2 linked regions of the Schizosaccharomyces pombe genome follow. The gene in region 1 interacts genetically with each later gene. Each region holds a gene or a part of one and is shown on either strand. Other genes may lie near its edges.

Region 1 (4,578 bases):
AACTTTTTTAAGGTATTCCTTATTAATATAAAACAACCAGCAATAATAATTATTATCCGTTTAAGTACCTTGCAGCTAAGTTTATTAGATCTAATATAACGATCATTCAGTCATAATAGTTTCTTCTGCAATGTCTTTTTTGTATTGTAGTACGATAATTTATCACATTAACTATTGAATAATGAAACGCGTTTACAGGTATCGCATTGTCAAGTATCTGTTGTATATTTTAGCATATGGCAACTCACTCTTGTAAAGGCTTTATGAATGTTAATTTAAAAAAAAAACAACTTCAAATAACTAGGTATGTATTTTTGAGTCATTTGCTGCCTGCCATTTTTTACTAGGATATAAATAAATTATGGTAACTTTCCTTCTAACAAATACGAATATGAAGAAAAGATCAGAAACATTAGGCTCGGATCAATCTAGGTATGAAAGTAAAGGGAAAAATAATTATAAACGTATACTAATTAAATCAGCTCTGAAATAATTGAGCATGTTTTGGAAGAGTTAAACCTCAAAAACATTGAAAGACGCGTCAAAAAGTATGACCAAATTGAAAGCGAATACAAGACCAATATAGAAAATGAGAAAAAGGCTTTTATAAAGGATGTTTCCCAGGTTCAACAGAAAATGTACGAAAATAAAACGGTAATCCTGGCAGTCATTAACATCAAATTATAGAAAGGAATTTGAGATACAAAAAGCGAATCAAATTAAACAATTGAACGAAGAAAAGCTTTCTATAGAAGCTAGAAAACAACAACTCGAAATCGAAATACGCAATCAGTTGTTACAGTATGCCGAGAAACTGCGAATTGTTGTTAAAACCCCAATGAACCAACCAACAAATACAGAAGTATAAAGTCATTTTAAACACATTATATAAACTAGTGCCATAAAATCATAAAACGAATTAAAAATATGTTATGAGCATACAATTTAATTGAAACTTCAAACTTGAGAATTGAAAAAGTAAAGTGAGGCTAATCGTTTCTAAAAATCTAAATCCGTTCTTTTTATTAAACGCTAAAAAATGGGTAGTAAATGAAATGAATAAACACATAAGTTTTCATGGGAATAATTTACATGGAGGTAATGTTATAGTACTCCTGGACAGGCACGCTGGAGCGAAGGAAAGTCTGCAGCTTTTCATCTCCTTTCTGCAATGCATTCCTCTTTGCTTTATTTTCAGATATTAATGCAGCTTTCCTCTTTAAAAGTTCCTGCTTTAAGGTGGAAAGTCGTTGACGTTCTTTCAGTTCGTCTTCAAGAATCGCAAGCATTAGATCATGATCATTCGAACTCTTAAATTCCGGGTGTTCCTTCAAAAATTCTTCTTTTGAGACGAGTGGTAACGCTGTGTATATATGTCTATTAAAATGGTTAGAAAGAAATGAACAAAGACTTTTGAAATCTGAAAAAAAAAAAAAAAAAGGTAAGGAACTTTCACGTACTCCTTTTCTTCGTAATTTTTTATTATCGTTTTTAAATGCAGCTTTTTGTACTGTAACGCCTGAAGCCGTATACGGGCGTTATCGAGTTCAGACTTGTGTTCGGCTGTTATAGTCTTTGCTTGTACGAGCTGTTCGTAAGATTTTCTATTTGCTTCTCGCAAGATTAAGAGCTTTGACATTAACTGTCGTTTAATTTGCTCGGGATTTTGATCGTCGGCATCTCTGCTATGCTGTTTCAACTCATGAATTCGCAAACACAATGTTCGAGTTGAGTCAAGAACGTTCAAACAATCTGATATTGCATTTTCTGTCATTTTTACGACGAAATACTACTCTTTCTTGGAAATTTTGTAGGAGGAGGTTTCCAAATTGTTTAAAAGAGTAGACGTTTGGGCTTAACTCGTCAACTCAGTATAGCTACGCCTTTACTACCATAAAGGTTAACTGACTAAAACTAACTTCTTATAAGTTGAGCCTTGAATTTATTGTATATATTTGAGAGATTTTCGTTGAATGTCTTTTCAATCAGAGTTCTCGTAAAACTATTTTACTAAACATCAAATCACGTTTTTTTTATCCGTTGCATATATTCAACTTCACGGTTCGGTATCATTTTGATTGATACTGTAAACATTTGGAATAAGTGAGTATTTGGCTATTGAAGAGTCGGTAAAAAAAAGTGTGCTTTCAATGAAAATTAATCAAAATACTACTGTTGATTGCGGCAACTTGATTCTCGTGCCATATCAAAAATGCCATGTGTTAAAATACCATAACTGGATGAAAAATGAGGAATTGCAAGAGCTTACTTGTTCAGAGCCTTTAACTCTTGACGAAGAATATCAAATGCAGGCCTCATGGAGTACTGATGAAGATAGTATGTTATGATGGTTCAACATTCGTGATTGATCAATTGCATCACAAGTTCTAATCATTTTCTAACGATATAGAGCTGACGTTTATCGTTTTACTAAACGAAAACGATGAAGCTAAGAAACCTTCAATTTTGGATCATGTAAAAGCCCACAGCGTTGAATCAATGATTGGGGATGTGAACATGTTTTTGACTGAGGAATACGCAGACGGTATAGAAGAATTTGATGATTCTCCCAGTGATGCTAATGCTACCAATGCTACGAAGGAGTCAGAGGTACATATAGTAGGTGAACTTGAATTGATGATTGCAGAGCCTCAGAATAGAAGGAAAGGATATGGAACCAAGATTGTAGATGCATTTTTGCACTATGTTGAATCCAGTGGAATTGCCAAAAATAAGCAAATCCTTAAGTATCGAGTCAAAGTTGGCTCCCAAAACAAGCCTAGTATTCGGCTATTCAAGAAATTGGGCTTCTCTCAAGTTAAGTACAACGCTTATTTTGATCATGTAGAGCTTGAACTAATGAGGACTTCATAAGCGATGCAACAACGCTTAAAGTTATTTACTTGTTTACTTTATGCAAGTGTTACATGCAGCGAACTACTTTAAAAGGGTTTATTAAAAATTGTTTTCTACACAACCCTATGGCTAATTATACCTCTCATCTCGCAACAACAATTATTTACATACAGACCTTTATTTTATAATCGCGAATTGGGTCTGCTTATAAAATTCGTGAACAACTTGGATAATTTCACCGATTTCTACTCTTCGATTTTTACATTACATTACAAAATAATATGAATACAATCTTTATTGATCATTTTACTTTTGAAAAAGAAAATTTTTGTTTTTAACTGAATGCAAAAACCATGAGAGGTTTCTTTTTCATTAATCACTCAACCAGAAACTTTATGCCTTCTTTCCAACCTCAGTAACGGTCAAATCTATAGAAAACTTGTTAGCTTGAGTTCACTTATATGAACGATTAACTCAGAGCTGATCATTTGTTTCACGAATTATCAACGCTTTAGGAAGAATTCCTTCGCAAAATGCTTTAAGGAAATGTAGTTCCCTCAATAAAAAGTAACTGAGTTAATCTTTCTTAGTAGTTTATATAACATACCGGGAGGAAGAGATTGACGGAGCTTCTCAGCCTTCTTGGCGTCAGCGACAACCAAGGTATACAAGTACTTGGAACAACGAAGCTTGAACTTAACGTCCTTGTTAGTGTTCTTCTTGATGCGGGCAGAAGTAGCATCCTTTCTGCGAGCGATCTCCAAGAATTGCTTAATGTCACTGATTTGACGAGGCTAAAACATGCATTAGTCGATGGTCATTCCTAACACTGAATATATTTTACAGAGACAACTTTAACGAACGAAAGATGAAAACAGTTTTCTCTTCCATAAGCTGCTGAAACCTCTACTTATCTCACTTACCATTTTGTTGAGCTTGGTGAAAGACCAAGAATTCATTCTTTCCAGTTTATCAAAATTTCTGTGACTGTGTTTTACAACTCGAATGGTTTGTAACTCGTTAAAAAGAAATTACGAGCTCTTAATCAGCCGGTATTCGCTCAAGGGGATTAACACTATCCTTCACTATACTGCTTGAATGGGCGTTAGATTGAAGTTCGTTTTTTAAATTGCTTAGCTCAGGTATATACTAAGTGTACGTGATAATAAAATTAAAAAAAAATAGAATAAGAGATGGTCAATATTTATATCTTAATCTATAGTTAATACTTTAATTTTTCCATGCATAATGTTTTTGGAAATTGATAGATGAAGTGTAACAACAAAGAAATGTTTTCAATAGATTTACATATCCATTTGCTATATCTTTTACATCTTTCTATTAGGATCAAACGACTTTATGCTCTTCGTTTTTGAAAACTATATTACATCAATTGCGAAAAAATAGATTTTTACAATAAAATGCTTTCATCCTATCCAAATGTGGATCAAGGCTCTATCTGTCTGTCTACAAAGTATTAACAACATAGCAGCATTCTTGTGAATTATAAAGATAAAGCATACTAACTACTACATATAGAGGAAGTTTGATTTATATGAGCGTGCTTCTATACGAATTTTTTGTTCCACGACGGAAACGACTTTTAAATAAACTCATGAGAAATTCCAACGAAGCTTAAACATTGCCTTTCAAGTGTCAAAATAATTATTGCTTTCGTTCACTAAAATCATTAAATCATTTTACAAAAAAAAAAAAAAAAAA
Region 2 (3,825 bases), on another chromosome or scaffold:
AATCATTTATTATCATTTCATTTAGGTAATTTGGCAATAATTAAGTGGATAAAGTGTGGATGCAGGAATTAAGAAGTGGTGGTGTTCCTGCCTAGTGTATAAACTATGAGAAATCAGCACGATCCCACATCACGGTAAAATGTTGAAATAAGGCATATGCTAAGTACACATGATTTATTCGAATTATTCAGTAAGCATCAAATGAATCTTAGTTACAAACAGATAGCTAATATTTTTCAAACTTACGGCATTAAGAATTAGCGTTAGGCCAAACTGATATACTAACTACATTTAGTTACTACTTTGCTTATATGTACAAGCTGGTCAGTTATTTAAACATCTTACCATTCTGGAATTTGAAAATTAAATGTTAAGCTAGTTCAATTCAGAGTATGTCTATTCAGTATAACCTGTATTTTTTTAAGATTTTTATGTTTATAAAAAATAAAGATGTATCAACTGTCTTTTAGCTAACCTATTGTTGGTTTGTTTACTCACCTCAACATTATGGTGGCCAATGTGGGGGCCACGAACTTCTTGTTATTGATTTCCTGACTTGGCATTTGCATATATATATAGGCGTTGAAACATCTAATTGTACATTAGAGTCACCACTAGGGAATTGTTGAAGGTTTCTTGTACATAACCAAAAACCCCATAAAAAATTATATCGTAACTTCTCTTTTGTAATCAAGTTGACCATGAGGTCTATGAAACCTCCAGGGTTTTCATCAGATCTTATGGATGAGCATTCTGTCGACTTGTTGAATGGGTCCATTTTGGCAGCTGAAAATCCCTCTAAAAGGGAGGTAGCTCAAGATGTTCCAGGATTCGAGAGAAAGCCTACGAAAGTGAGAAAGCCTCGAGTAAAATGGACTGAGAAAGAAACTAACGATTTACTACGGGGATGTCAAATTGTATGTTAATTCAATACTGACATTGTCTTTTTATTAGTAATTGAATATATAAAAATGATTTTTTTTTCGAAAACTAACCGTCTCTAGCATGGTGTTGGTAATTGGAAAAAAATACTATTAGATGAACGTTTTCATTTTACGAATCGTTCTCCCAATGATTTAAAAGACAGGTATGCATGATCAAATTTTTTTCATTGCCTAAATCAATTGCTAATGGGTATATGCAAGATTTCGGACAATTTTACCAGAAGATTACAAAAAGTTTTATCCCAATGCGAAAACGCATATGGGACGGCCTCAAAAAATCCCTCATACGGTAGGTTTATCTAAATCAACTAGAAAGGAGAGAAAGCAATTTACCCCAGAAGAGGATGAGCGTTTATTAGAGGGCTTTTTTCTGCATGGTCCTTGCTGGACTCGTATTAGTAAAGATGCAAATCTCGGACTTCAAAATCGTCGAAGTACAGATCTAAGGGATAGGTTTCGGAATGCTTTCCCAGAAAGATATGCGGCTGCTGGATTTAAGCTTAAGAATAATCCAGGCAATAGATCGAAATATTATCAGAATAATATGGTAAATGATGCTACGACCCCGAACGATAGTTCTACAACGGAGGCAGCAGCAGCAGCAGTTGCTGCAGTGGCCGCCGTAGCTGCTAGTAATCCTAACGCATCACCACAGCAAACCACTGAGCAGCCAGCATCTGACGAGCTGCTCGATTGGCCACATCATAATTTACCAAGCCAATTTTTTACATCTCAACGGAATCCTAACTACTCGACTGATTCCTTTTTACTGGGTCAGTCATTGTCTGATCCCTTTAATCACACATTACAATCATTTCACCCTTATGAGTCTTTGTTTTCTGCAGGCCAACCTCCTTCATTACCTATATCCCCATCGACATCGCAAAACTCGGTCCAACCATTTCCCTTCTCAATTCAACAACCTCCACTTCATTTGGAGCCTCCCTTAAGTTCAAATACGCTTAACTCGTCTACTCTGCCGCAGCCGAATTCCACTGATTTCAATACTTTTCCACCTTTGCCCTCGACTCCTAGAATCTCATCCGAGGATATACCGTGGGACAACCGGGGATAGTGATTTAGTACCGTCCTCATTATTTCCTTTCATCTCTGACTCACAACATTTATCCATCGCTCTGCATGTCGTTATTCATTTAAATTTTGTTTTTGTTTTTTTAAATATTTTTAGTATTTAAATATGAATGTTCTTAGAACTCAGAAATATTGGGTGAATCAGTTCGCTATCAATTTCGCTTGCAGAAATACCTACGTTAATCCTATGTTTTTGCGATATTTCCATTGCGCTGTTCCTCGTGCAATAAGTCAAAGGGCATTAAAGCCTATGGATATACCGTTTTTGCGTATGTTTAGTGTATATAATAGTGCTGACTCTATAGAATGTTACATTGAACCTATCGATAATACATCATTTTTCTTGCATCCTTTTAAAAAAATACGTTTTTGGTGGAGATATTTGTTCTACGGTTGGTGGAATTTAAAAAAAAATCAATTCTTGATTAAGCGTACCTTTCCTGACCGTGACTTCAGCATCGCCGAAATTATTCAAAATGCTTTAAAACTTCATTCTGGTGTCAACAAGGCACTTGCTAAGTACGTATTTCTGTAACGTTAATATTGGTTTGCTTTTTTTAGAATTTCCGTTAGCCATTAAACTTATCACATTTCAGTTTTGCTAACTTAGCGTTGTTAAGTCATGATTTACAGCAATTAGAGGAATTATGTACCTTGAGAACTGCTCAAATATTAAAACAACAAGCTCTAAACCAGCCAAAATGTATATGGAAACTTGAAAAGCACATATCTAAGCCTAAGCTACTTAATTTGAGTCGTGCCCAAGCAGATTTGAAAGGCGAAGAATTTTTTGTACAAGCCGTCGTACGGCTGCATACCCTACAATCTTTACGAACGGATAAAGGCTCTCCCAAGATTGAAAAGCCAGATATAGAGAATGTTGTTATCCAGCAAAGATCGTGGACTTCTCCAATTAGATGGCAATTGTGGGGGTCTGTTCCATCGACCCCGGTAAACACAGTAAGAAAGACATTGCCTGACGGACAAGTTACTTTTGTTGCTAAGCCGTCAAAAAAATCGTTTTTAAAACAACTCTTCTCCGGAAAGGAGTAGAGGATTTCTGCCCCTACAATTAATCCATCGAGAACAATTTAATGACTATATTATTATCCACTTAGGTGAAAAAGTGTTTTGATTATGAGATTTTTTTTTTCAAAGTCTTAAAGCTTTATTGATAAAAAAACCCGATAGATTTATCGTAAAACTATAATAAATAAGCCGCAAAAAATATCCATAAACTTTATAACATGAGAAGAGTCGTACAGAAGCGCTAAGGCAATTCTGTAAATCGAAAGACAAGTATTTATACATACATACATACATACACATGTAAACAAATCGTCTAATTCACAGATCGAAAATTTGCATTCAAATTTTTTAAAGGAATCAAGCATACGAAAATGTAGAACGGTTTCGACCGTTTAGGCCTAAGGCAGCACATCCCTCGTAAAACAGATCAAATTTTTCAGAGCTGTATCCAATATAGTCAAAAGAAGAGGTACCAATAGGAGGGACGGTAGAACCTTCAACCAACTGTTTTTCAGGTCGATCCGCAACTTGGCTGGAAACGCTTAGATCCTCCCATTCATCATCTTCTTCCAAGCATTGTAAAATTCCCCACAATGCCCACCCGATGTTCGCAGCAGGACTAATTGCGCGAACAGATTCTTCTAAGTTCATAATTTGCTTTTCAAACGTGTTCTTTAATTCGTCGGAAATATCAGTTTTCAACAATGAAGCATCTTCAATTTCGAGTAGATCATTAATGACAGCGGATTGCTCAACATAT

The links. Genes that interact genetically often act in the same process or in processes that back each other up.
Region 2: mutations in SPOM_SPBC577.03C (region 1) and mba1 together harm fitness less than expected from each alone (positive genetic interaction), as found in Schizosaccharomyces pombe (one large-scale study listed by BioGRID).

The regions. Positions count from the first base shown.
Region 1 is NC_003423.3:753,856-758,433, reverse strand, and holds SPOM_SPBC577.03C (GCN5-related N-acetyltransferase), read left to right. Parts: upstream 1-1,865; 5' UTR 1,866-2,150; coding exon 2,151-2,337; exon of another isoform or gene 2,338-2,410; coding exon 2,411-2,874; 3' UTR 2,875-3,249; coding exon of another isoform or gene 3,250-3,284; 3' UTR 3,285-3,463; coding exon of another isoform or gene 3,464-3,650; 3' UTR 3,651-3,779; coding exon of another isoform or gene 3,780-3,782; 3' UTR 3,783-4,023; downstream 4,024-4,578. Other genes in the region: 1-phosphatidylinositol 4-kinase Stt4, read left to right, coding at 13-26; meiotic recombination protein Rec27, read left to right, coding at 392-432, 483-638, 688-868; tho5 (THOC5-like protein), read right to left, coding at 1,089-1,377, 1,461-1,774; rpl3801 (60S ribosomal protein eL38), read right to left, coding at 3,250-3,284, 3,464-3,650, 3,780-3,782.
Region 2 is NC_003424.3:2,313,045-2,316,869, forward strand, and holds mba1 (respiratory complex assembly protein), read left to right. Parts: upstream 1-2,056; 5' UTR 2,057-2,142; coding exon 2,143-2,305; intron 2,306-2,341; coding exon 2,342-2,555; exon of another isoform or gene 2,556-2,656; coding exon 2,657-3,089; 3' UTR 3,090-3,325; downstream 3,326-3,825. Other genes in the region: teb1 (Myb family telomere binding protein), read left to right, coding at 702-917, 1,005-1,087, 1,146-2,019; eki1 (choline kinase), read right to left, coding at 3,423-3,825.